Oryzias latipes: one gene and its partners. The protein of the gene in region 5 purifies or fractionates together with the protein of the main gene of each other region. This does not show direct contact. Links are inferred from orthologs where the notes say so. Each region holds a gene or a part of one and is shown on either strand. Other genes may lie near its edges.

Region 1 (4,273 bases), on a different chromosome or scaffold from region 5:
GAGCGCCCTTCCACATATTCCAGCTACAGAGCAAGAATGAGTCTGTAATACAACACAGTTGCATGTTGCTGTTGACGAATACAAATATGTCATTGATCTGCCAGTTTGGAAAAAGATAGTGCAAAGATATATATTCTATATGTGGATAAACACCTGCTGCCTCCTACAGACCTGCTGCTGCTTCCACGACGCTTCAGGTTCATGTCCTGCTTCCTCCTATGTCTGTGATCCAGATTTCCACTCCTCTACTGAGTGGAGACGAAGGGTCCAAAGGGGAGAGAACTGCAGGGGACCTCCACCTGAGGAAGACCTCCACCTGAAGAAGACCTCCACCTGAGGAAGGCCTCCACCTGAAGAAGACCTCCACCTGAGGAAGACCTCCTCCTGAAGAAGACCTCAACATGAGGAAGACCTCCACCTGAGGGATACCTCCTCCTGAAGAAGACCTCCACCTGAGGAAGACCTCCACCTGAGGAAAACCTCAACATGAGGAAGACCTCCACCTGAGGAAGACCTCCACCTGAGGAAAACCTCAACATGAGGAAGACCTCCACCTGAAGAAGACCTCAACATGAGGAAAACCTTAACATGAGGAAGACCTCCACCTCTGTCTCCTTTCCCCCCTCCTTCTCAAATATGTGGCCTTCAGACTCTGTCATATTTTTTGAATAAACATCATTTTGCTCCAGCGCGCTGAAACTATGTTTTAGTCCTTTATTGTTAATGTTATGACTTGTTTTTGTGGAGTTGACTCGTTTCCATCCTAAAGGACCGGGGCGCAGCAGAACCCTGAAGCCTTGTCTCCAGTCTTTGGTGGGAGTGTCCCCTGGCCCCTGCGGCTCCTGCGGCTCTTGGCTCCAGCGGGGCCGGGCCGTGCGCGTCATGTGACCGGGGAGTGGCTGCGAGTCAGGAAACGGCGCAGCTCCAAGTCTCAGCGCAGGTAAAGTCCAAACGATCCCAGAAACGAACCGAACCGTTCTAGAGCAGGTTTTGGTCTCGATCCAAAATCCTACCGCGGGTTTCGGAGCGCTTCACTTTCTGAGGACAAACGGCGAGATGTCCCGAACCGGGCTGGGGGCGGGTGGGGGGGCAGTTGTGTAGAGACCGGTAGTTTCATGAGCTAAACGTCACGTTGACGCTTAAAGTTCGGGGTTTTATAAACAGAAACTCCGGGAGAGAGCAGCCGTCACGGAAGGACACAGACCGTGGTGTTCCGAGAAAGTCCTCTGATTTCCGCATTTGCGGCTGCTGGAAAGACTGCAGCCCCACCGACCGACCGCTGCAGGCGGCAGGCTGCCCCGTAACGCACGGCGGAGGGGGTCTTGACGGGGTCCTAAAAACGCGTCATCATAGCAGACGCTGGAGCGCCGCTGGTCCCGGAAACGCGCGTGAGCAACTGCCTGACCCGCGTCAACGCCCCCCCCCCCCCCCCCCAACTGGCCCCCGATCAGAGCAGACTGGGCATGAGCCCACGTTGGTCCAGCATGGATGGGGGTCAGGGGTCAGCTGGGCTGGTGTTTGCTGCAGCAGCTCTTTGGTTCTGACCTTCAGCGTTTCAGAGTTTCAGGATTTGTTCTGAGAGGAAAAGCAACTTTCCTTCTTTGTGTTTTCACTGCCTCCATCACTCAAAGCTGTGAGGAAGTTTCCATCATCTCCATTTGTTATCAAAACGTTGGTTTGACCTCAGACTGTTGATGCTTATGTCAGACAAACGCTGATGATGGTGTAGTTTTCCCTCCTGATCCTGTTGGTACAGAGTAAGCCCACCTTCACTTCCCGTCATCCATAGCTTTAGCGGCACCACAAGAATGCTGCTCAATATTGGAGCTGTCCATGGATCTATTTGTCTGCAGGTGGGGGCATCAGAATGGAGCAGGGCAGGGACACTTTGGCCTGGCCAGAGTATTTTCTACATCACTAGTCTTCATCACAGTCTTTTTTTGTCTGCTCCTGATTGACAACAGTTTTGGGTTTGGGTTTTGCCAGCACCCGTCCTGCTAGTTAAAAACCTACTCCAATGAAAATGGTGTTTGTGGTGTTTTTACATGTTCTTGTAGCATTTTCTAATGATGGAGGACATACATATATATAGAAAATCAAGCTTAAAACTGCATTTCTGAGTATTTCTTTCTTCAAATCGTTGTGAATCAGGAGCAGAAGAAAAAATGCTGTTTGAAAAACCTCTTAGTTGTTACGTAAACTACAATCAGCAGGTCACCAGCTCCCTGCTCTGCTCTATTCTGATCTGTCAGACAAACAGATCCGTGAACGTCTTTGTCTTCCTGGTCTGACCTGGAATCTGGATCAGAACTGGACGGATGATAGATCTGATGTTGATCACCATTTTTGTTGCATCACTAATATTAGCTTGAGGTTGTGAGGGGCTGTAAGCTAGCAGGGGAGAGTTGTAAAAAGATGGATGACGGGAAGGGGGGGTGTTGTGCTTTTCGCCAACAGTCCCGCCCACACCTTAGAGGGGAATTTCTAATGAATTACTCCCAGTCCGCAGAAACTATGTCCTAGAAAACGACAACGTTTTCTGATTTAGTCTAAAAACAGCAGAATCGTAGTGAAAAGACCGCTGGGAACACTTTGACAATAGATCATAAGATGATGGTTGGGGGACTTTAAAGGTTAAACATGCAGTTTGTATGAAAGCAAGACATAAATGTGTCTTTCTGTGTGAACTCAGCTCTCATCATGGCCTACCAGGCTGGGATTCAACGGGAGCCCGCCGCTTTGGTTCAGAACATCAGCTCCAACATCCAGAGGATCACACTACTGAGTAATGCACACACACACACACACACACACACCCACACAGACCTGTGCACATGCTGAACCCCACTGGACCCCCAGCATCCTCACTCATGGATCTGTGTTCCAGCCTCAGAGCTGCAGAGGGCCGTGACCCTGCTGGGGACGGAGCAGGACAGCAGCCAGCTCAGACAGACGCTGTGAGTTCTGACCGCCTGCTTGATCACACATGCAGCCAAATGAGTTCAAACCGACAGCCGGCCTGTCTGTGGACGGTCACCATGCACACACACACATACGTTTCCCTTGTTCCTTCAGTCAGTTCATTTGTAAAGACTCCTGAATGGCAGGAAGCAGACTGTCTTTATTATTTTAGCATCTAATTCATTCATCAAAACAGAAAGATAACTTTAAAAAGATGTTCTAAACACATACATGTTCATATACACACATTGGAGATGCAGGTTGTTACTAAAGTAAGTTCTATTCTTATAACAGTGTTTTACTTGAATGGGATCATTTGTCCCTGTTTTAAAACAGTTCCATTCAGTGGGTTTAAGGTTCAAAAAGTAGTTTTCAACCTTTAGAATAGTTTTTTTTTACTCTGTACTCAGCTAGCTCCTGAAACCCGAGCATTTTCCACGTCAGGAGTAATGGATTTGTAAGATTTCTGTTTCCTCGAGTGAAACGTTTCACAGATGCTTCCCTCTGGTTCTCAGTCAGCAGAAACAGCAGCAGGGGAACCAGCTGGCCAAGGAGACCGACCAGCTGATCAAGGCCTTCACCGCCCTCCCCGTCGGTCCCGATCAGGTACGAGGCCCCTTCGTCCCACGCACCGATCACATCGAACCCGGTCAGGAGTTTGTGGGAATTGATCAGCTGTGTTTGTGTTTTCAGAGGCAGAGGAAGCTGCAGAAGGAGCGTTTGCTCAATGACTTCTCTGCTGCGTTGAACAGTTTCCAGAAGACCCAACGGCAGGCCGCCGACAAGGAGCGGGAGTTCGTGGCCCGAGTCCGAGCTGGCTCCAGGCTGTCGGTTCGTATTCGCCTTCGTCATTTCTGGGAGTGCTGTGAGCGAGAGCTTTCCGTGCACGCTCACCTCATACTCACACGTTCCACAACCAGGACCATCCGGGTTCTTTCTGAACAACACTGCCATGGTTTCCCGGTTTCAGCTGTTCTGGGCCATAATGTACCATCTGCTCAGAGTTTGGCTGAACGTTCAGACGTAGACAGGTTATTCAGATGAAACCCTCCAGCTGAGGAAATGAGAAAAGCTTCTTCCAGTGACAGTGTGTCTGGGTTTATAGGCGTGTTCAGGATGGAGTGGGTGAGTGTGAGCGCTGTGAGGAAATGTTTCAGATGGTCAGGTGAGCAGATGCACCTGTCCCAGCCTGTTCCAGACCCAGCATGAGCCTTCCGCTGGTTGGGGGGCAGATCTCTTTATGTTGATTCATTGATGGTTGTGGTTCTTGCTGGCATTCAAACATCTCCATAAAGTAAGAACAGGCATTGTC
Region 2 (3,500 bases), on a different chromosome or scaffold from region 5:
CAAAGGATGAAGAAGAGGAGGACGACAACCAGAAGAATAGCAAGCAGAATGCCAATGGCGCACCACTGTCTGCGATCTGCAACAACAGGAAGGCAGCAGAGTCTTTCATTGACAACCAACCATGTGTGAAGCAGCACCGCTGTATCTGGTTGCCGGGCAGATCTCTTACCACTGGTCATATGTGACACCTTGGCCAGTTTCTTCATGACATTGTCCAGTCTTGAATGTGTGTTGTCCATCTCATGGCTGAAATCATCCAGCATTCTGCGGTAGGAACCACACAGACGCACACATCAACAGCAGCAGCAGACATCTGGTTTTACTTTCACGTTTCATCAGAATACAAACGCTGCCATACCATAATATACAGCAGGGCAAACAGGGACCTTTAGACACCACGACCATGTCACAGTACTGTTCCTCTCCGTCTCTGATTCTCCTCCACAGGTGAACCGGAGACAGAGGGTTATGGTTAGCCAGGACGCTGTAGCTTCTTCATGATGCTGTGACCATGGTTGGTTCTTCAATTATCACGGCTCCTGACTTAAATGCTGGCTGATTGCTGAAAAGAAGGCTTTTATAAAGCTATTTTAAGATAAAGTGGATAAAAAGTTTCATCTAATCTCATTTTAAAATCAACTTTATCAGTCATGTCATGAACAGACATTTATGTTCGTAGTTCAAGTAAAAATGTACTAAAGTACGAGTACATGCACAGCCTGTTACACCTCTGTGCAGCAGCAGTTCAGCACACTAAACATGAGCGGGATATTTACCCCCCCAGAGGGTCACTAGTGTTAAACAAAATTCTAATTCACCTCTTAGCTTACATTTATTCATTCCACTGTCATCAACACAACAATGTCCCATCCCATCCCATCCATCCTGCCCTTTCAAAATAAGAGCACATATGTGCAATTACCATAAAACAAATAAAGAAGTATTTGTTATTTAACAGTCCCTGCCTTTATAGCTCAAACTCACCTTCTTTTTTATTTTTTTTTTATTTTTTTTTTTTTTTAACTTGTCCTGTCCAACAGCTGGGCAAACAGATGAGAGCTGAGGGCCTCTTGTGTTGGACATATTTTACTTTAACAAGAGGGGTTATAAATCTTCTGACAAACCAGAGGTATGTCTGAATAAACCCCTTTTGTAATCGAGGCCGAACTTTATTAATTTCAATCATATTTGAAAAACTTGTGTGTTGGACCGGACGGAAAAGGAAAGAAGGGAAGAAGAGAGAGGGATGTTAGAGGTTAGAGAGGGGGGGGGTGATTAAAGGAGGGGGGGGGGGTGAGACCATAAAGCGGCATAAAGCAACAAGTTACTGGATGTTTATCATTACAGTAAGGTTCAGATAGAATACAAATCTCAAAAGGCGGGGCCTGTCCACACGCACACTCAAATGTTATCAACACACCTGTTAGCTGTAAAAATGTCCACCTGTCAACATGTACACAAAACAGATAGTGTTCACACACGCATACCTATGACTTCAAACCAACTAGTGTGAAATTATATTTCATTCGACACGCAAACTATTAGTGCAAAGGTGAGCTAACACCTGTGCTCAGGTGAGTGTTTGTGTTCTTCCAAAATGGACGGTGGAATGTGAAAAGAAGAGGGAGAGTGCCCAGCCACCCCCACACCAAGACCCCCGCCACAGCAGCAGCGGCAGCCAGAATCCTCCAACGCCACACATCCCCCCCGGGCGACCACATCCGCCACCCAGGCCAGGACCAGCAGGACCGCCGCGAGGCCCCCAGAGCCAGAGAGCAGGGAGGCATGGGGGGAAAGAAAGTGCTGCCCCACCCCAACCAGGAGAGCAGCCCCCCCACCGCGCCAGGAGGGCCCAACACCGGGCCCCGCCCCAGAGGGGTGCCCACAGATCCAGACGAGCCTTTTTTTTTTTTAACAACACTGAATTTGCTGTTGCTGCATTTAACATGAACTAAGTTCCGCTTGTCCTTCACTCGGGGCTTCAGGTAACTAGCATGCAGATGCACCTTTTGGAGGAGTCCAAGACAACTGATCCGTGTTAAGAAAATAACTAATGGGGCATGTATGGTTAGATTTCTGATGTAAACTGTGCTATAGCACCCCCCCCCCCCCTCGTAAATCTGAAGCACTCCTGAAAAAGCTGCAGTTCCCCAGAACTAAATCAGCTTTCAGTTAAATATAGTGTTAAAATAAGACGTTAAAAATATATATTTACCGTCTTGTCTGAAAGATCTTTTGTGCTTTATTTTTTGTAAAATCACTGAAGTTGATTTTATGAAGGCCTTCCTTTCTGTATTGTTTTTTGTTTTTAGATGGACTCAACAAAACTCCCTCTTTACTCTGTCAGGCCCACCATTCAGACAGCTGTAACATGTTGTTTTGTTTAGAATAAGTATTCCTTGTTAGGGAATCGTGACACGTGACATTATCCCACTGATGTCTTTGCTGCTATTAAAAAACAAACCAAACCTTTCCAGACCAAATGTGTTCCTGTGGAGGGGATGCTTTCTAAAGGATAATCATTCATTATGTGTGCAAACAGCTGAACAGTAAAGATCATCTTTTTAGTTTAGGGGTCTGTTATGCTGCCCAGCGTCAGGCCACCATTCTCTCCAGATGTGATGAGTTCTACTTTTAAAATCTTTGAGGGCTGTACTTGGAGGAGCCATTGGTCTTCAACTATTTCAATGAACTACCAGACTGACCAAACCGAAGGGAACCAGACCACCGTGCTGCAGACGTTTGGGGTTCCTCCCAAAGCGAGTTCACATCTGAGGTGTGGCGGAGGCTTACCCTGACCATATGTCTGGTGCTGGTGATGAAGGCCTTCCTCTTTGACAGCTCCGCTGCATCCAGATTAAACTTCTTTGGGTTTGACTCTACTATGCGTTTGCAATGTGTTAAGGAACATGCTTTCTCTGTGCTGAGCTCCAATCCCAGAACCCCAAAAACAGGGAGGTGTAAAGAGAGTGAGCCTTAACAGATGCACCTTTTGGTAAAGCAGTCTGCAAGTTGTTCTTTCACGTTGTACCACAACACTCGCTCAACTCTGCTTGGATGAGTTGGCACTTTTTTCCAGACAGACTTCAGTGCGTCAGCCAGTGAATCTGTGACACAGATTATGGGTGGAGCGTGTTCAGTCGTTGGTTCAGAGAACAGTGTTGCTGCAAACGGTGCATTGTCAGTTCCATCAGACATTGCCAGTGTTTCTCCAGCAGGTGTGCTCCTCACAATTCTGTTCACTCTCTTTGAGGGGGAGCGGTGAAAACTTTCCACGTTCTCCCATTAGAACTATCAGGTTTCCTTCTTGAGTGGCTCCATCTGAAAGATTGCCAAATGAGGCATCACTGAACACCCTCATCTTGAGGGCTGAGTCCCTGCCTAGAAGCTCAAAGTTCAGAGCCACCTCACTGGATTTCAGTTTGCACACCGTTCTATTCGTTTCATGGATTTAAAGCATCAAACAAGACTTTTGGTCGACTCTGCCTTGCAACCCAGAG
Region 3 (4,201 bases), on a different chromosome or scaffold from region 5:
CAAACAGTTTGCCATTCATCGCTCTTGGGTCATGTATAAAAGGAAAAGAAATCACATTACATGAATAAAATGTGAATAAATTTACTGGTGCAGTTCCAGATGACTGTAATTGTCGATTTAATTTTGAGCAAAGGTGATTATTACCTGGGGGGGTGGGGGGGGTGGGGGTAATGGGTAGTTCTGGTGATGGTCTTCTGATTTCTTTTGCCGCATTCCTTTGATCCCTTGTAATTCCACATTGTTTTACTTGAAAACTAAGACAATTACAGTTGAATAAAAAGACCAAAAATTAGTGACGGTTTGGTGTTAAAGGTTTGTCGCTGTATTTCTGGTACATGTGTGGTCAGAACGTTTAAAGGAAAAGACTTCAGTCTCACTTCCTGGAGACTTTTTCATGTCATGAAAGTAGATTTTTAAGCCCAGATGCCACGACTCAACTTCATGCATAAATTAAAACCGTTTAGATGTTTATAAAGAAAAAAAAGCTGACAATGACAAAGTAAAGGCAGAGTATTTTATTTAAAAAACCAAATATTACAATGCTTTAACAGCTGAACAGTGGGAAAGTTGTCTCCTTCAGCTAACCTGGAGCTAGATGTTGTCATTTTGTCTCTCAGCAGGTCGTCTGAGTGTCAGGAGGTCACAGAAACCCTCAGAAGGGTTTGGCAAAGAAAGCTGTGCCGAATCTTTATTAAGAGGCTACAACAGATCAAAAATCCATCCCTTCTTGACAGTGTTGGTGCTCAGCATCACATTCTTAAGTAGACAGCATGGAGAAGGCACAGTTCTGAAAAGTTAAGGCTTAGTTATGAAACAACTCATTTTAGTAGCAGCTTAGAATGTTTTAATAAATACAAACTGGGGTTGGCCTCGTTGGTGCTAAGGGATTTACTTTTCCCTATTTACACTTGGAAGTCCAAATGCTCAAGATAAAAAAAAATCTCTGTATGATCACAATCTGTTATTTACAATATTAGTCTGTTTTCCGTTTATAAAAACCTGTTAAACTGATTTTTACAGTTTCACAGTGGAAGCGTAACAAAAGTGAACAGATTTCCTGAGATCAATACTGCAACTGCATTTTTTAAGCTCACTTTCTGTCTTTCTGTGAAAAATGGGGGTTAAACAGAAGAAATCAGGAACGGTATGTTAGTTTTGCAGGAAGAGACTCCTTCCTTAAACAGAAATGAAAATGCAAACATAACTGAAAATCTGACCCAAAAAAAAAACGCTTCATTACAGAAAAATGACTTGGAAGGTGAGGAATAGAAAACAAAAATGTTCAGTGACTAAATTCACCTGTGTGGACTCCTCTTACACACAAAAAATGTATAGATAATTTATATTCTATGTATCCAACATGCTGCAGGCAGTGTCAGCGTCCGCTTTTACTATGTGAACGTGGACACGACGGCGATGACAATAATGAGGAGGAGGATGGCACAGCAGATTGCGATCCAAAGTTTTTTCTGCAGTAAAAAGAAGAAACGGTATCAAACAGGTTGGTATTACAAAAAAAAACAAAATCAGATATACACAAAATATTTGCATGAAATCAGGGATCAAAAATAAAAGCTAACCTTAAATAGTTGAAGCTCTTAAAAGAAGAACTATACACTTCTGGTAAATTTGCAATAGCATTTTTTAAATTAAATTAAGTATCTGAAGGACCACAAATTGAGCTAAATCTCTCCACAACATCCTACCAAAGTGGAATAAATGATTCACATAACAGCTGCTTTCAGAAACTGAGCTCTTCTGCAGCCGTCTGTGCAACTGAAAATGTAAAAAGACATTTTTATCCATCGCCTTTGAAGTTAATTCTCAATTTTTATAAACACCTGCAGAATGTAAAGCGTTTGGAGACGGAACCACTGATCTAATTAGCTGGTGATGACATCCCACCAAACTTTAAAACATGGCTTTTTGAATGTGAACTGTTATAACAGGGTTAAAAACTGTTGATCTGAAAATACGAGGACTTCTGATTAGTTCAGGTTTTAAACCAAATGAAGGCAGAAAAAACTGATAGAAACATTTTAAAACCTCTGCCACTCTCCCAAGTCCCCATGACTACATATTTATGCTTCAGTCTGACTAAAGATACTTTAGAATGTTTTGATTTTTGAATGAAAAAGGGACTACATTGATAAACTACTGCTGCTCTGCAGACCCCATGTCCTAGAAAATGACTTTTCTTTTAAATAATTTGGCTAAAAACAGCATAATCCTAATTAAAAGACTAAACGAATCAAAAGATGATTGGAGTGGGGGTTTAAATTTTAGGATGAGTCTGGAGACTCAGTGTTTTGGTTTGTCAAAAGCAAAGAATGAGACGTTTGATCCGCTCTCTAAAATTGAAACCTTTGCACACAATTGTGAAAGTGAGATTTAAAAAAAAAAAAAAGGAGAACTGCAAAGTTCTTTAAAAAAATAAAATTTCAAAAGCATTTCTATTTGTGTTTTCAACAAATCTAGCGAGGCCCAAACAGGATCTCTCCCAAATTGGATTCATACCAAATCTGACTCTATCACATGCTTTTTTACAAATAAAACTCATTTTATGGGGTGGACAGTCAGAAACTTTTGTGCATGAAGCACCGATCAGGTGTGTGCCGGTTAGGCTCTTTGAAGTGATGCTTTGTAGGGACTGATTGAGTGCAACAGGTGAGGCCAGACCATATGTCAAGTCATTTAGTGTACCTTCTCAACCATGCCAGGATAAAAAAATGAATATATTAGTTATCAAACTTTAGTCTAAGTTAAAGCAAAATTTGGGTCATAACTCATTTCTGTCACCAACTCTGTATTTTCAGTTTTTTTATACCTTTGATTAACCCAAAATGTCAAAGTTTTAAACAAATTAAGAAACTCTGTGAATGTCAGAATATCGAGGATTTATTTGTTTTGAAACAGGAAGTCAGAAAAATTCAGCTTCCTGTTTTGCACTGGGTTCAAAATGCTCCATGATTTACACCTACCTTGCGAGCTTTGTTCTGATATGTGACGGCCTGTTGCGTGTTTTTCGCTGCGCTCTCCACGTAGTCGGACGACTGCTTGATGTTCTCTTCGATTCTGTTGACCATCTCTCCCTGGAAGACACAAAAACGCCATGATGGAAACCTATATCGGATGGAACCAGCCTGAAGGTCTGTTGGTGTTTGTGATACCTGAGCCTCCACCTCCATGGCGAGGTACTGGAACATGTCGTGCAGGTCTCTGACGCTCCGCTCCAGCTTCAGGATCTCATCGTGCCGCGACTCGATCTCATTTAGGGCTTGTTTAGTAGCTTTTGCATCATTTAAAATCTGTGAGCCACAAAAAGGTCCAATAAGTAAAGGAAAGAACCCAACCGAGCTGGGTGTTTGGGCTAACATCCCTCTGAGGAAGGCTGCACTAAGCATGGGTCTTCACGCCTCAGCTACTGTGACACTAAAGTCTGTTTCTTACCAAATCTGCTGTCCAGTTAGAGCAATTCGAGAGGTGACAAGAGAGCAAACCTATCATGACATGTTTCTGAGTGATGGAAAACAGCTGCAGCGTTTCCATGACGACACCTCTCGCACATCTACTCACATTTTGAGTGAAAACATCCGTTTGGCCGTTTTGAAGCATCGTGTCCAGTTCCTCTTCTGTCACGTTTGTGCCGGCTGGAGACAGAACCAATCAAACAGTGAGTCACATGTTCACAAAAGCACAGGTGAGGAAATACTTCGACGTCCCTGAACACCAACAGACGGCCTGGGACAAGAAAGCTCACTTATTTTAAGCTGCCTCTGTATTCTCTCCACGTTGCGATCTCTGTACTTGGCCTGGATGGTGTTGCAGTGGCCCATTAGCTCCACAAACTCCTTGGAAAGTATGGCATGCTGGGAAAAACAGACCAATTTATTTCACACAAGCAGCAAGGAGGATGCAACAGTCTAAATTTCTGCATTTAAGCCTATTCTGTCAAATAGATAAAATTATTGTTTAAATATGTAAAGATGCTACCTGAGTGCGCTGCATCCGGACATTTATGGGAATATATTTGCCATCATCGTCCGACTTTTTGGATTCAATACCTCAGTTGAGACGAGAAGAAACTTAAGTGGTTTGAAGACAAAATTCTTGATTTGAACTCCCAAATACTCACTTTTCAGCTTCCTCTGGATCTGGCTCGCTAATATTTTGATCTCTTCTCGAAGAGTTTGAAGCTCTT
Region 4 (4,145 bases), on a different chromosome or scaffold from region 5:
AAGGTCTATTACCACAGGCACCACTGTCACCTTCACTTTCCAGGCTTTCTCCAGTTCTTCTCTGAGTCTCTGGTATTTCTCCAGTTTCTCATGTTCCTTCTTCCTGATGTTCCCATCACTTGGCACTGCCACATCCACCACAACGGCTTTCCTCTGTTCTTTATCCACCACTACAATGTCTGGTTGGTTCGCCATTACCATCCTGTCAGTCAGTATCTGGAAGTCCCACAGGATCTTTGCCCTTTCATTCTCTATCACCTTCAGAGGTGTTTCTCTTTTTGACTTTGAGGTTTCCAGTTCATATTCTGCACACGTGTTTCTGTATATTATTCCAGCCACTTGATAATGGCACTCCATGTATGTTTTCCCTTGCAGCATCTTCAACCCCGCAGTTATGGTGTAAATGGCGTACACTTACAGTATATAGCGCTTTTCTACCTACAAGGCCCAAAGCGGTTTACAAACACAGACCCATTCACACACTGGTGGCGGCAGATTTATAACTGTAAACAATAAATCCTTGTTTATTTCTGAATAATGGTGTGTGTTTTGTCTATGACTTGATGCGTACTGATGGAATGCTGTTATCATACAATGGGTTTGTAACTAAATACAAAATTAAGGATTCTAGTAACTGTTATAGCAAAGTCTGTTAAGCAATTACCATACCTTTACTTAATCTTATTCATAACATATTACAATACAATGCAATCAAACCACAATTTCCAGAATTAATGGAAAAGTTAATGATATTCCCCTAAAAGATAAAAAAGGCAACAATAAACTCTAACCTTTAAACAAATAATTTTCTGCAACTTTAGCATAAACAATGAACGCGACTTAGAAACCACCCTAATGGACAAATCTTTTTCTTTATACACAAAGTACCCACTTCCACCTAAAATGAAAGAAACGCATTTTAAAATAATATCTAAAATTTACCCTGTTGGAGATTTTTTACATAAAAGATTCAAATTTCAATCAGAACCACGCATATTCTGTTCATCTGAAACTGAAACGTAGAACATCTCTTTTACAGTTGCAAAAATATTTTGGACTGATATTCACAGTTGGTTGTCACTCAAAGTTTTAAATATTCCCTTTTTTTCCTTATCTGATGTTCTTTTCTATATGAAAAATCTGGACCCGGGAATTTCTTTTTTTTCTATATGCGCATTTATAACGTTTGTTCACCCTTACTTGGTCTGTATGAGCATTTAAAAAAAACAAAACAACAAAAAACAACGTCATACCGAAATGTCACATACCAGGAAGTCGAATGCTCAGTTTTGATTGGTGGCTCACTGGACCCGGGCACGCTACAGCGTTTTGATTGGTGGTTTGGTTTCAAATGCGTGACCTGATTGGTTGTCAGAGGAAGTAGGGCTCGGTGATCTCAGCTGAATCCGGAACCAAGCCCTGATCGAAGGGCGAGAATTTGTTTCTTCAGCTGAATCATATGCAAGTATAAAATAAACGTCAGTTACCTTGTTTCGTAGTTTCAAATGTCGATTAAACGCTATTTTAAATATGCAACGCAACGATTTCATCGTTTATAATCTAACGCTTAGAAGTTAGCACGTTTAGCTAACACGTTAGCATCGTTCCGCTACGTGTTGTTGGGAATGTCACTCTGTGATGTAAAATTCCGTTAGCAGAACGTCGCTCTGGTAACATTGTTGTGGTTATACTATCAATATGTTAACGTTGCGGCTTCATGTTTGTCTATAAGTCAACATCTGCTGGTTAGTTAAATAAGCGTACGGGTCTTATGGTGTGCGTCATGTCAAAAAAAAAAAGCAGCGAAATCCTAACAGTTCTGTATATACTTTACTAGTCTGTATTATAATTTTGTGTGATGATTTTAATAAATGTCAGCTTTTTAGTCTGTGCGTTTTAGTAAGTTTTGAAGCGTGATTGCATTCTCCCTCCGACCTACATTTGGAGTTTTAGATTGAATTATTCATGTTAAATAACAGTTTGTGGCCTTTTTCAAATTTCCTTTTCTTTTTTTGCATGCACAGTTTTAGCTCAACATCAAAGCCAAGCCTTCCGCCTCAAACATGTCCTACGGTAAAGCGGAGTTCCGCCCTGTCCCGAGGGACTTTGGCTCCCTTATTCAGACATGCAGCTCCAACATCCAGAAGATCACACAGAACAGTGAGTCCTCCATTGCTGGGAGCTGAGACTCATTGTTAGTCACTGGCTCAGGAAGAAGTCATGTGAGAATGCTTACAAGAATCGTGATGATCTGCTGCTTAACTCAGGCCTGTTCAGGGGGGGAGATCCAGGTTAAGCAATCACATGGCTAATTCATCACAAGTGCTTCAGGAAAATACACTATTCTAAATGTTCAGGTTTGCTTCCTTTTTGAGATGTGTACAGTAAATAAGTGCTTACATTCTTTGGTACAAAACTCACAAATTAAGTTGCATTTTCTGCTGTCTATACAAGAATGGACACTAAACTATTTCTTAGCTCGTTTGCTTCTGCGGTTTGGATTGGTTTTTGTGTTTTTTTCTGTGTTGTTGTTTGATATCTGTGCACACAGATGATCCCTGAGTAAAGGTTTTGGAGATTAAGATTGTTTCTGTTTTCCTGACAGCCGCACAGATTAAGACCATGGTGAACCAGCAAGGGACAAGGCAAGACTCCAGTGAACTTCACGATCGTCTGTATGTCATCATTTCTTGTTTCATTTTTTTCTACCAGTTTTAATGAAAACACAGGCAGATGGAGGTTTTCTAGCTGGTTAACATCTGATGCAAATATCAGTGTTATCTTTGTTGGTAATAACCTCCTAATGAGGCTGAATATGAGACCAACACTGATGCAATTATTCAATAAGGCACCCTGACTTATGTTTAAGACAATATGAAAAAAAAAACTAACACAGCCAGTTTGCTTTACATGCATTTCTTGCACACACTGTTGTTAATCATATGTATTGAGAAGTAAAACCTTTAAAATTGTTATAATTCAGGCTTTTTGGTGACAAAATTTGGTTTCAGCTACAAAACCTACATCTACTGACCCAGGAGTCCTCCTGCTTTGCACATTTAAGTGATGCTGTGAGACCAGGAAGAGGTTAAATGACTGTTGCTGGTGGTTGTGGAGTAAACTTCAATAATCTCTTTTGTCTTCTGCGACTAAATGAATGTGTCACACTTTTTGATGGCGTGTTTTCACTTTGCAAAGAATTTTAAAATTTTGATTTATTTCAGAGCTGGTAGAAAAGCTCTATTATTTGATTTAAAAAAAAATACTAAGAAAATTAAAAATTTCAAGCTTTATTTGAATTGAATTGACAATAAAAGCAATTTACAGATGCATTAACAGTAGTGCATTACACATTGAGTGTGCTTTAGTGTGGAGCAGAATGGCTGGGACTGTAATAGCCTGAATCTGGGAAGCAGCTTCTTCTTGTGGCTGATGTTCAGTCCTGTTTTTATTGATGCACAGTTTTCTCTGCAGGCAGCAGATCCAGCACTACACTAACCAGCTTGCGAAGGAAACCAACAAACACCTTAAAGAACTAGGCTCTGTCCCTGCGCCTCTATCCCCCTCTGAACAGGTAAGTGGGAGTTTGTTGAAACGTCTGCATGAAGACCAAATCCTGAGTTTTTACCAAAACTGTCTCCCCTGACTGCAGTATTCCAAACACGGTGTGCAGCAGTACTTCAAAGTATTTTTGCAGCAGAAAGGTTTAACTGGAGGGAGATGGTTTGCTGTTGTGACCTCTGAAGTGATCAGATATTAGTAAAAGAAGGCGATTCTTGTAGTTGAGATTTGCTAATTTTTTGTTTTGTAAATTTTAAGCAGGAGATGAAAGCCGAGTTTATGTATAAACGATACAGAGGAAGCAGGGATTTTTCCTGAAAATCTTTAGGAAAAAATAGGAGTTAAGTTACAATGTTGCTGCTTGAATGTTGGAAAGTGATTGTCAGGATTGAACTTTAAAATCTTAACCGTTATCTAAATGCTTTTTTAAAAAGTGTCTCCTAATGTGCTTTGGGTGCTCTGCTCTGTCCAGAGGCAGCAGAAGATTCAGAGAGACCGGCTCATGAGTGATTTCTCTGCGGCGCTCAACAACTTCCAGGCGGTTCAGCGACACGCAGCCGAGAAAGAGCGGGAGTCCATAGCCA
Region 5 (3,202 bases):
TTTTTAGCCTCATCAATACATGGAAGCCTTGACTGCTTATCTACAAACCCCAAATGCAGCAAATGCTTGGAAGACACGGACATGTTGAGAGGTCAAGTTATTCTTTATGAAGGGTTCTACAAAAGCACCAATAATCACGTCTGCATGTCTGGATTCATGATATTCACAGACTCTCCCAATTTGATGCAAATCTACCTTAAGGCTCGTCAGTAAGGCTAATTTATTATATCAACTACCTCATGAAGTTTTGTTTATAATAAAAAAAAAATGTAGCAGAACATGCATCAGCTTAGCTTGAAGTCTTTCTACAGCAGACAAGTTCATAGATCACTAGAAAAACATCCCAGCCTCACAAAAAGACTAATGACTGAATGTTATTATTTGCACCTATATTTATAGCTGATTGAAATGGACACACAGTGAAATGAGAAACGGGCGAAGCCATCAGCTCCACCTGTGCTGTACCTGCTTCAGTAAAATCAAAGCTTTCAAGGTGAGGAGCCCAGTGTACCCGTGTGGTGAGACGTCTGAGGCGGAGACACTTTTTCTTACAGTTTTTCTCCATTGGTTTGGCTCAGTTCTTGAAACAGAAATTACATTCTCCAAACAACATGGACAAACATCCAAACCACTTTCTCATTGGTTTCCTCAAATTGCAAATGTCTTAGTACAAGTCTAAATGTCTCCGTACATCTTTCAATTGATTAAGTACAGGTAGCCTTTATTTAGCACAATTGTCAAGTGAATAGATCTTTTTGATCTAAACTGATTGTTGATTCTCAGTCTAATGGTTGTTCACTCCAAAATCAGTCCGCGTCATTTCATTGTGTAACTCATCACATGCACAATAGTCTGTTCAATTGTCAAAATTAGTCAAAAACATAATACATGAATATGATATATGAATCCCTGGGAACATTTGATACATTTATTACAGCAATTGACAGTCAGGTGATACTAGAACTTGACTAACGAAGGAGGATGTCCCAGGCCAGCGAGGGGGCAATATAACTATGTGTGCTGCCATATCTGAGAATGGTGTGGCCACTCACATCCCCAGGATTGGCCCATACAATACACAGAAGACCCTCATCTTCTTGGATTGCCTTCATTTTGATTTGATCCCTGAAACTGAGAGAGGTCTCTTAGGGCCTCACCTACCACTATATGTTATTGTATGGGACAATGTGAATTTCCACCATGGCGCGCTCATCAGGGCCTGGTTCACTACTCATCCAAGGATGTTCATACCTACTCTCCTTTCCTCAATCCTATTGAGGAGTTTTTTTCCACTTGGAGGTGGAGAGTGGTGTATGAGCATCGGGCTCAAGATCAGAGGTCCCTGCTCCATGCCATGGATGCTGCGTGTGAGGATATTACAGGAGATCAGTGTAGGGGATGGTTGCCACATGCACGCCGTTTCTTCCCTCGTTGCATCACAAGGGAGAATATACGCTCTGATGTGGACAAGAATCTGTGGCCAGACAGACAGCAGCGTGTGGATGATGGCCAGGAGAGGGAGGGTGAGGAAGGCGACCAGTGAAGAACTTTTAGTTGTGAAACTCAAGCATTATTTACAGCACTGTAGGTTGCATATCATTTTCATTGTTTTTTGTTAGTGTTTGTATTTTTACAGCATAAAACTTTTCCATGTATGAAAGTTACTTTATGTGTGTGAATGATAATGGTTACAATTTCCTTGGCAGTATGAGTGCAATGTGTGCTGTGATACCTAAGAGGCTACTCTTACCCTAAAATCCTTTTTCTTTTTTCCGTTTTATACAGAATTGTATTCTGTTAGCTATACAAAAACAGTACAGTTACCACTGTCAATTAATGACTGAGCTAAGACTAAAAGGTGGACATGAGGGATATTTCAATGGTCCTCTGCTATAGTGACAAAGCATCCAATCATTTTGAATTGCAGTGCCTACACAATGCCAAAGGGACAAAGTATTTTGGAGGCACTGACTGTTTAAGTGAGAAGGAAATTTAGTTTTGACACAGGAGGGAATTGTTTTGGGAGAGACATTAGCTTTTGCAGGTTGTGCTGAACCATCCACATTATTTTGACAAAAGCACCAAGAGTGTTGAGAACGTCCGGTCTGATCAAGAAATGAGCCAAAGCAATTGAGAAGGATATTTGCCATTTTGGTGGCACTGACTCTTTACATGGGAAAGGAATTTAGTTTTGAAGCATGAGTGAACAGTTTGGGGAGATATATTAGATTTTGCAAGTGAGCTATTGTGTTGTGCTAAACTGTAAGACTGTTCTGCCAAATGATCTTAGAGTTTTGAGAATCTAATTTCTGTTTCAAGAAATGAGCCAAACCAATGGAGAAAAACTGTAATAGCTTCTTGTCATAGAGAGCAGCTGGAACAACGTCTTGCCAAAAAGCAATTTAAACTTTACTTCAGGGACAGAAAAAAAGCCACACTTTCAGTGTTATGTAATGAGTGAGACTATGGCTCTGTTTGCAGCTCCACCAGTGTGTTTTTACGAAGAAACGCCTGCCGGAGCACAGCAGCTCCTCCACCAAATCCCCCCGCAGCACTGACCCCCATTTGCAAGTCCTCCGTCTTGTCCATGAGTTCGTCCAGCCTCTCTCCTCGGGCCAGGATCCGGTCCACGTTTTCCGTCATGATGTTTTTCACCCCATCCACCTGATCCTTTAGTTGAGCAACTTTGTCCTTTGGAGGCTCCGCCAGATCTCCTCGCTCCTGCCGTACCAGGAGAAGACCACAGTTAGCTGCACTTCGCCAATAATCAGGTTGCTATGGTTACCAATAAATATAGGATATGATCTATTTCTGTCTTGCAAGAAAATTAATCTTTTTGGAAAGTTTTTTTCAAAGCAACATAATCTTAATTTAAGAAAATATGTCTTAGTGACCAGAATTTCTTTACTAAAATACTTTTTAATAAAAGTTCTTGGTAAGATAATTTTTCTTACCCCGTTGACAGATATTTTGTTCATCTAAAGATTTTTCTTTATGTTAAGAATTTTTGACCTATTTCTAGGGCGCCTGTTTTTTGCAGCGTGAGGATTGCACATGTATGCAAAAATCACAAGGAACACAATGAAACAAATACAGACATGTAGCAGAAAAATTGTAACTGAACCTTAATTTAGTCAGAATTTCGGGGAAAACTGTTTAAGAATTGAGTGTCGATGGTCGTGTCTGATTACACGTCACAAAA
Region 6 (3,500 bases), on a different chromosome or scaffold from region 5:
GCTGTTTCCAACAGCAGAGATGAAGATGTTGAAGTGTGTTTGTGATTCAGAGCAGCTCAAAAGAGTAGAGGAGGGCATGGAGCAGATCAACGAGGACATGAAGCAGGCCGAGAAAAACCTCAACGACCTGAACAAGTGCTGCGGCCTCTGCACCTGCCCCTGCGACAGGTACGCCGCTGCTGCTGCCGGCGCCGCCGCCGCCACTCAGAGTGCAGGAAGAGTCCTGTTGGATTGTTGGACTGCATTCATGCCAAATGTTGGAATCAGGAAGAATGCTGCACGCGTGCTCACATTGACATGTTTTGCAAAAGCGGAACATTTCATTTATTCATTAAAGCAGAATCTGTTTTATTCTTCTGATCCATTTCTGTTTTTATTCCGAGTTCTTAGTGAAAGTGTGACTTTGAAGCTTTTGTGTGACTTGTTGTTTCTAAACACAAATCTTCCTCAAATGCTTTCACTTTGGAGAAGGAGATACTTTGATTATCAAGGCATAAGGTAGGAGGCGTTCTGTGATTCCTGCCTCTTTATTTAGCATCTTGTAGAAATGGCTCATCCTGAAAGCAGTGTGTGTTTTAGTGAACCTGTTTGTGTGGCGTTCCCTGACGTTTTGGCGCATAAATGCGGTTTATATTTGTTTACAGAGTCACATCTCTTGAAAACGACCAGCGTTACAAAAAAACCTGGGGCACTGGAGGGCTGGAGGGGGAAAATGATGGCGACGGCTCAAAGGTGGTGTCCAGGCAGCCGTCACGCACTCGCAACGGACAGCCCGCCCAGACCGCCGCCAGGGGGACCGCCGCCGCGCCGTCGGGCCCGTACATCCAGAGGTGGGGCCTCGAACGGGTCCCCGAGTTCAGAGACCGCCGACCGTCGTTTCAACAAACGTGGCTTTGTGCTGCAGGGTGACCAATGATGCGCGAGAGGATGAGATGGAGGAAAACCTGGAGGCGGTGGGCGGGATCATCTCCAACCTCAAAGGCATGGCGATGACGATGGGACATGAAATAGACAAGCAGAACGTACAGATCGACAGGATCACCGATAAGGTGAGAGCCAGAGATCCACCAACCATCTGGTTTTATTCTCAGCTGAAAATGGTCTCATAACATTTTCAATAAATACATTTTAAAAATCCTAAAGAGAAAATCTGAAGCCTCACATGAACCTTAAGGAAGACAGACAAACAAGTGTCCTTAAAGCAAGTCAAACTAGAGAAAACAAGATGTTTTACTTTTTTAAAATAAGTGGAAAAAAACAACTAGAATCATTTATTTTGGGGGATTAGTTGAAAAAAGTATCTTTTAAGACAAAATAACATTTCAAAATTGGCTACTATCATTTTCATTATTAAATTATCAAAATTCTCACCGGAAGCAGATGTTGCTGAAAAAAGTTGTTTATAATTAAAATGTATAACATACATTCTTATACTTTTCCCCCAAATATATCCTATTTCAAGCTCTCGAACTTTCCTTTTTTTTTAAAAAAAAAATCCTCTAGATATTAGACTAGAATTACACATTTGAAGAGAAATTTCTCTTTAAAGTTGTATAATCATTAGTCCCCAAATCAATTAAAAAGCCCAGAAAAGTGATATGACGTAAATAAAAATAAGATGCTTAAAGATCAAATGAGCCGACAAGATATTCAGGATAAAAATCTTTTGTTGCAGTGCAGCTCAGTTCTGAAACTGTATTCCATTTATATTTACGACATTCAAAGTCTCAGACGTTCAGGGGAAAGATGAGAGATGGAGTGGAGACTTGATCAAATAAAAGGCTTTCTGGGGGAAAAATGTGGATTTTTAAATCCAGAGTTTGTTGTGAGTGGAGAGGATTTTCAATGTTTCGGCTTTTCTTTTATTTGTGAAAAAGCAGCTCGTTTTTATTTATTTATTTATTTTATTTTTTTAAGGACACCCAGTCCAGTGTCGCACAGTTTCATCATTCGGGTATTACTTTGAAACAGGTCAATGGCCTTGCTCAAGGCCACGGCTTTTGAGCAAACACACTGACTCAACCTGTTTTCATTTACTGATCTTCAGTTAATTATGTTAGCTTAGCAAAATTAAATCAAATGAGCAAAACATCCGGTTTCTTTACATAGAGCAGTGTTTTTCAACCAGTGTGCTGAGGTGGTCAGGTGTGCCCTCATAACTGATCTAAAAACATTTTCCATCTCCTGTATATCAGCTCTCTGTTCATCCAAACAGGCCCTGATAAAACACTGCGTAGTTAGGAGTATGAAAGATCATAAATTACTTTTCTTTTTGTGTTTATTTGATTCTAATTAAAGACATTTTGATAAGAATGACGGGACTGCAATTTAGCCCCAGCTAAAGCTGTTTTCTGAGAAGTCCCGCCCCTTTAACTGTCTCCGCCAATCATTCTTGGTCATCAGTCTGACCAATCACAATTGGTTAAAGTCTTCACTTCCTTGTCATGATTTGGCTCATAAAGTCGCTCAGTTCTAACAAAAATACCAGCTGAAGCTCGTCTTTAGCTGTGTAGCTTTCCACAGAATCCGGTGTCAGACCGTGGAACAAGTGAGCAAAACCATGAAGCTCAGAGACGATAGTCTGTCTGTGTTCGGCGGCAGGTGTCACTACATCTCCCATGATGCATTGGGTTAAAGTGACAGCGTCTCGACGCACAAGGAGTCTTTCCTCTTAACGTCTTGAAACCACAACGAACACACATCAAACAGTTTTTAAATCTTCTAACTTTTTTATTACATCTTTTAGATGTCACAAAAATGCATGTGTGATTGCAGAGGGCCTGTAGATCAATACAGACTATAGAGTTTCTCCTTTTTTTTTTTTTTTAAATTTTGGATGCTGGTGTGCCACAGGTTTTTTGTCAAAGTTAAAGTGTGCCGTGGCTCAAAAAAGGTTGAAAAACAGACATAGACGATAGTTGACTTTTTGAAGAACATAATTTTGATCAGAATGTGTAATAAAGAGATTTTGGCTCACAGTAGATCCCTGAGGGGGAAGCATGGCAGTGGAAGTATCATGGTAATTCCAAAGGTACAATTACTGCAGTGTTTTTGTTAGCTTTCAGGCACTGGAGGATAGAATCCTTAAGGCTTTTCTCAGGTTTATAAATGTTTTTCACTTGTTAACTGTAGTTGGAATTGTTGATACATTCCCGTCAAATGAAAAGTGAGCTAAAGAAAAGCTTGTCTACTTTTATTTTCTTCCTCTTCAGGCGGACATGAACAAAATGCGCATCGACGACGCCAACCAGAGAGCCAACAAGCTCATCAAATGAACGCCGACGTCTGCTTCGTTTTTTTTTTTTCCCCTCCTCCACTTTGGAGCCTCTTTTGCGACCTTCATGCACACAGTTTGTTTCCACACACGTCCGTAGAGCAAATCTGTCCTTGTTGGCAGCACAGCTGTCTTTTTTTTTTTTTTTGTTCTCAAATGTAGATGAGAAAACTCGACCCCCGCTGGACTGACCTGCCATCCCAAAACAGGTTCCTTCTCCTGGAAA

Evidence for each region.
Region 1: the proteins of vesicle-associated membrane protein 8-like (region 5) and stx7 purify together in Homo sapiens (affinity purification with mass spectrometry; 7 studies listed by BioGRID and IntAct, counting the BioPlex papers as one, with this or other methods). This does not show direct contact. The link is inferred for Oryzias latipes from reciprocal best matches to the Homo sapiens genes VAMP8 and STX7.
Region 2: the proteins of vesicle-associated membrane protein 8-like (region 5) and syntaxin-6 purify together in Homo sapiens (affinity purification with mass spectrometry; 3 studies listed by BioGRID and IntAct, counting the BioPlex papers as one, with this or other methods). This does not show direct contact. The link is inferred for Oryzias latipes from reciprocal best matches to the Homo sapiens genes VAMP8 and STX6.
Region 3: the proteins of vesicle-associated membrane protein 8-like (region 5) and syntaxin-4 purify together in Homo sapiens (affinity purification with western blotting; 3 studies listed by BioGRID and IntAct, with this or other methods). This does not show direct contact. The link is inferred for Oryzias latipes from reciprocal best matches to the Homo sapiens genes VAMP8 and STX4.
Region 4: the proteins of vesicle-associated membrane protein 8-like (region 5) and stx12 purify together in Homo sapiens (affinity purification with mass spectrometry; 3 studies listed by BioGRID and IntAct, counting the BioPlex papers as one, with this or other methods). This does not show direct contact. The link is inferred for Oryzias latipes from reciprocal best matches to the Homo sapiens genes VAMP8 and STX12.
Region 6: the proteins of vesicle-associated membrane protein 8-like (region 5) and snap23 purify together in Homo sapiens (affinity purification with western blotting; 3 studies listed by BioGRID and IntAct, with this or other methods). This does not show direct contact. The link is inferred for Oryzias latipes from reciprocal best matches to the Homo sapiens genes VAMP8 and SNAP23.

Annotation. Positions count from the first base shown.
Region 1 is NC_019882.2:21,987,180-21,991,452, forward strand, and holds the start of stx7 (syntaxin-7), read left to right. Parts: upstream 1-1,473; 5' UTR 1,474-1,488; coding exon 1,489-1,633; intron 1,634-2,692; coding exon 2,693-2,785; intron 2,786-2,887; coding exon 2,888-2,957; intron 2,958-3,476; coding exon 3,477-3,567; intron 3,568-3,654; coding exon 3,655-3,792; intron 3,793-4,273. UniProt on the Homo sapiens protein: May be involved in protein trafficking from the plasma membrane to the early endosome (EE) as well as in homotypic fusion of endocytic organelles. Mediates the endocytic trafficking from early endosomes to late endosomes and lysosomes.
Region 2 is NC_019862.2:1,653,413-1,656,912, reverse strand, and holds part of syntaxin-6, read right to left. Parts: exon of another isoform or gene 2,990-3,500; intron 2,007-2,989; exon of another isoform or gene 1,915-2,006; intron 265-1,914; coding exon 170-264; intron 77-169; coding exon 1-76. UniProt on the Homo sapiens protein: SNARE promoting movement of transport vesicles to target membranes. Targets endosomes to the trans-Golgi network, and may therefore function in retrograde trafficking.
Region 3 is NC_019877.2:19,251,478-19,255,678, forward strand, and holds the end of syntaxin-4, read right to left. Parts: coding exon 4,136-4,201; intron 4,065-4,135; coding exon 3,994-4,064; intron 3,870-3,993; coding exon 3,761-3,869; intron 3,651-3,760; coding exon 3,577-3,650; intron 3,309-3,576; coding exon 3,171-3,308; intron 3,093-3,170; coding exon 2,982-3,092; intron 1,470-2,981; coding exon 1,392-1,469; 3' UTR 501-1,391; downstream 1-500. UniProt on the Homo sapiens protein: Plasma membrane t-SNARE that mediates docking of transport vesicles. Necessary for the translocation of SLC2A4 from intracellular vesicles to the plasma membrane.
Region 4 is NC_019869.2:17,750,869-17,755,013, reverse strand, and holds the start of stx12 (syntaxin-12), read left to right. Parts: upstream 1-1,345; 5' UTR 1,346-1,461; exon of another isoform or gene 1,462-1,478; intron 1,479-2,024; 5' UTR 2,025-2,063; coding exon 2,064-2,160; intron 2,161-2,605; coding exon 2,606-2,675; intron 2,676-3,474; coding exon 3,475-3,574; intron 3,575-4,033; coding exon 4,034-4,145. UniProt on the Homo sapiens protein: SNARE promoting fusion of transport vesicles with target membranes. Together with SNARE STX6, promotes movement of vesicles from endosomes to the cell membrane, and may therefore function in the endocytic recycling pathway.
Region 5 is NC_019867.2:25,804,124-25,807,325, forward strand, and holds part of vesicle-associated membrane protein 8-like, read right to left. Parts: intron 2,722-3,202; coding exon 2,560-2,721; intron 1-2,559. UniProt on the Homo sapiens protein: SNAREs, soluble N-ethylmaleimide-sensitive factor-attachment protein receptors, are essential proteins for fusion of cellular membranes.
Region 6 is NC_019880.2:4,940,082-4,943,581, reverse strand, and holds part of snap23 (synaptosomal-associated protein 23), read left to right. Parts: intron 1-50; coding exon 51-168; intron 169-644; coding exon 645-830; intron 831-904; coding exon 905-1,049; intron 1,050-3,212; coding exon 3,213-3,275; 3' UTR 3,276-3,500. UniProt on the Homo sapiens protein: Essential component of the high affinity receptor for the general membrane fusion machinery and an important regulator of transport vesicle docking and fusion.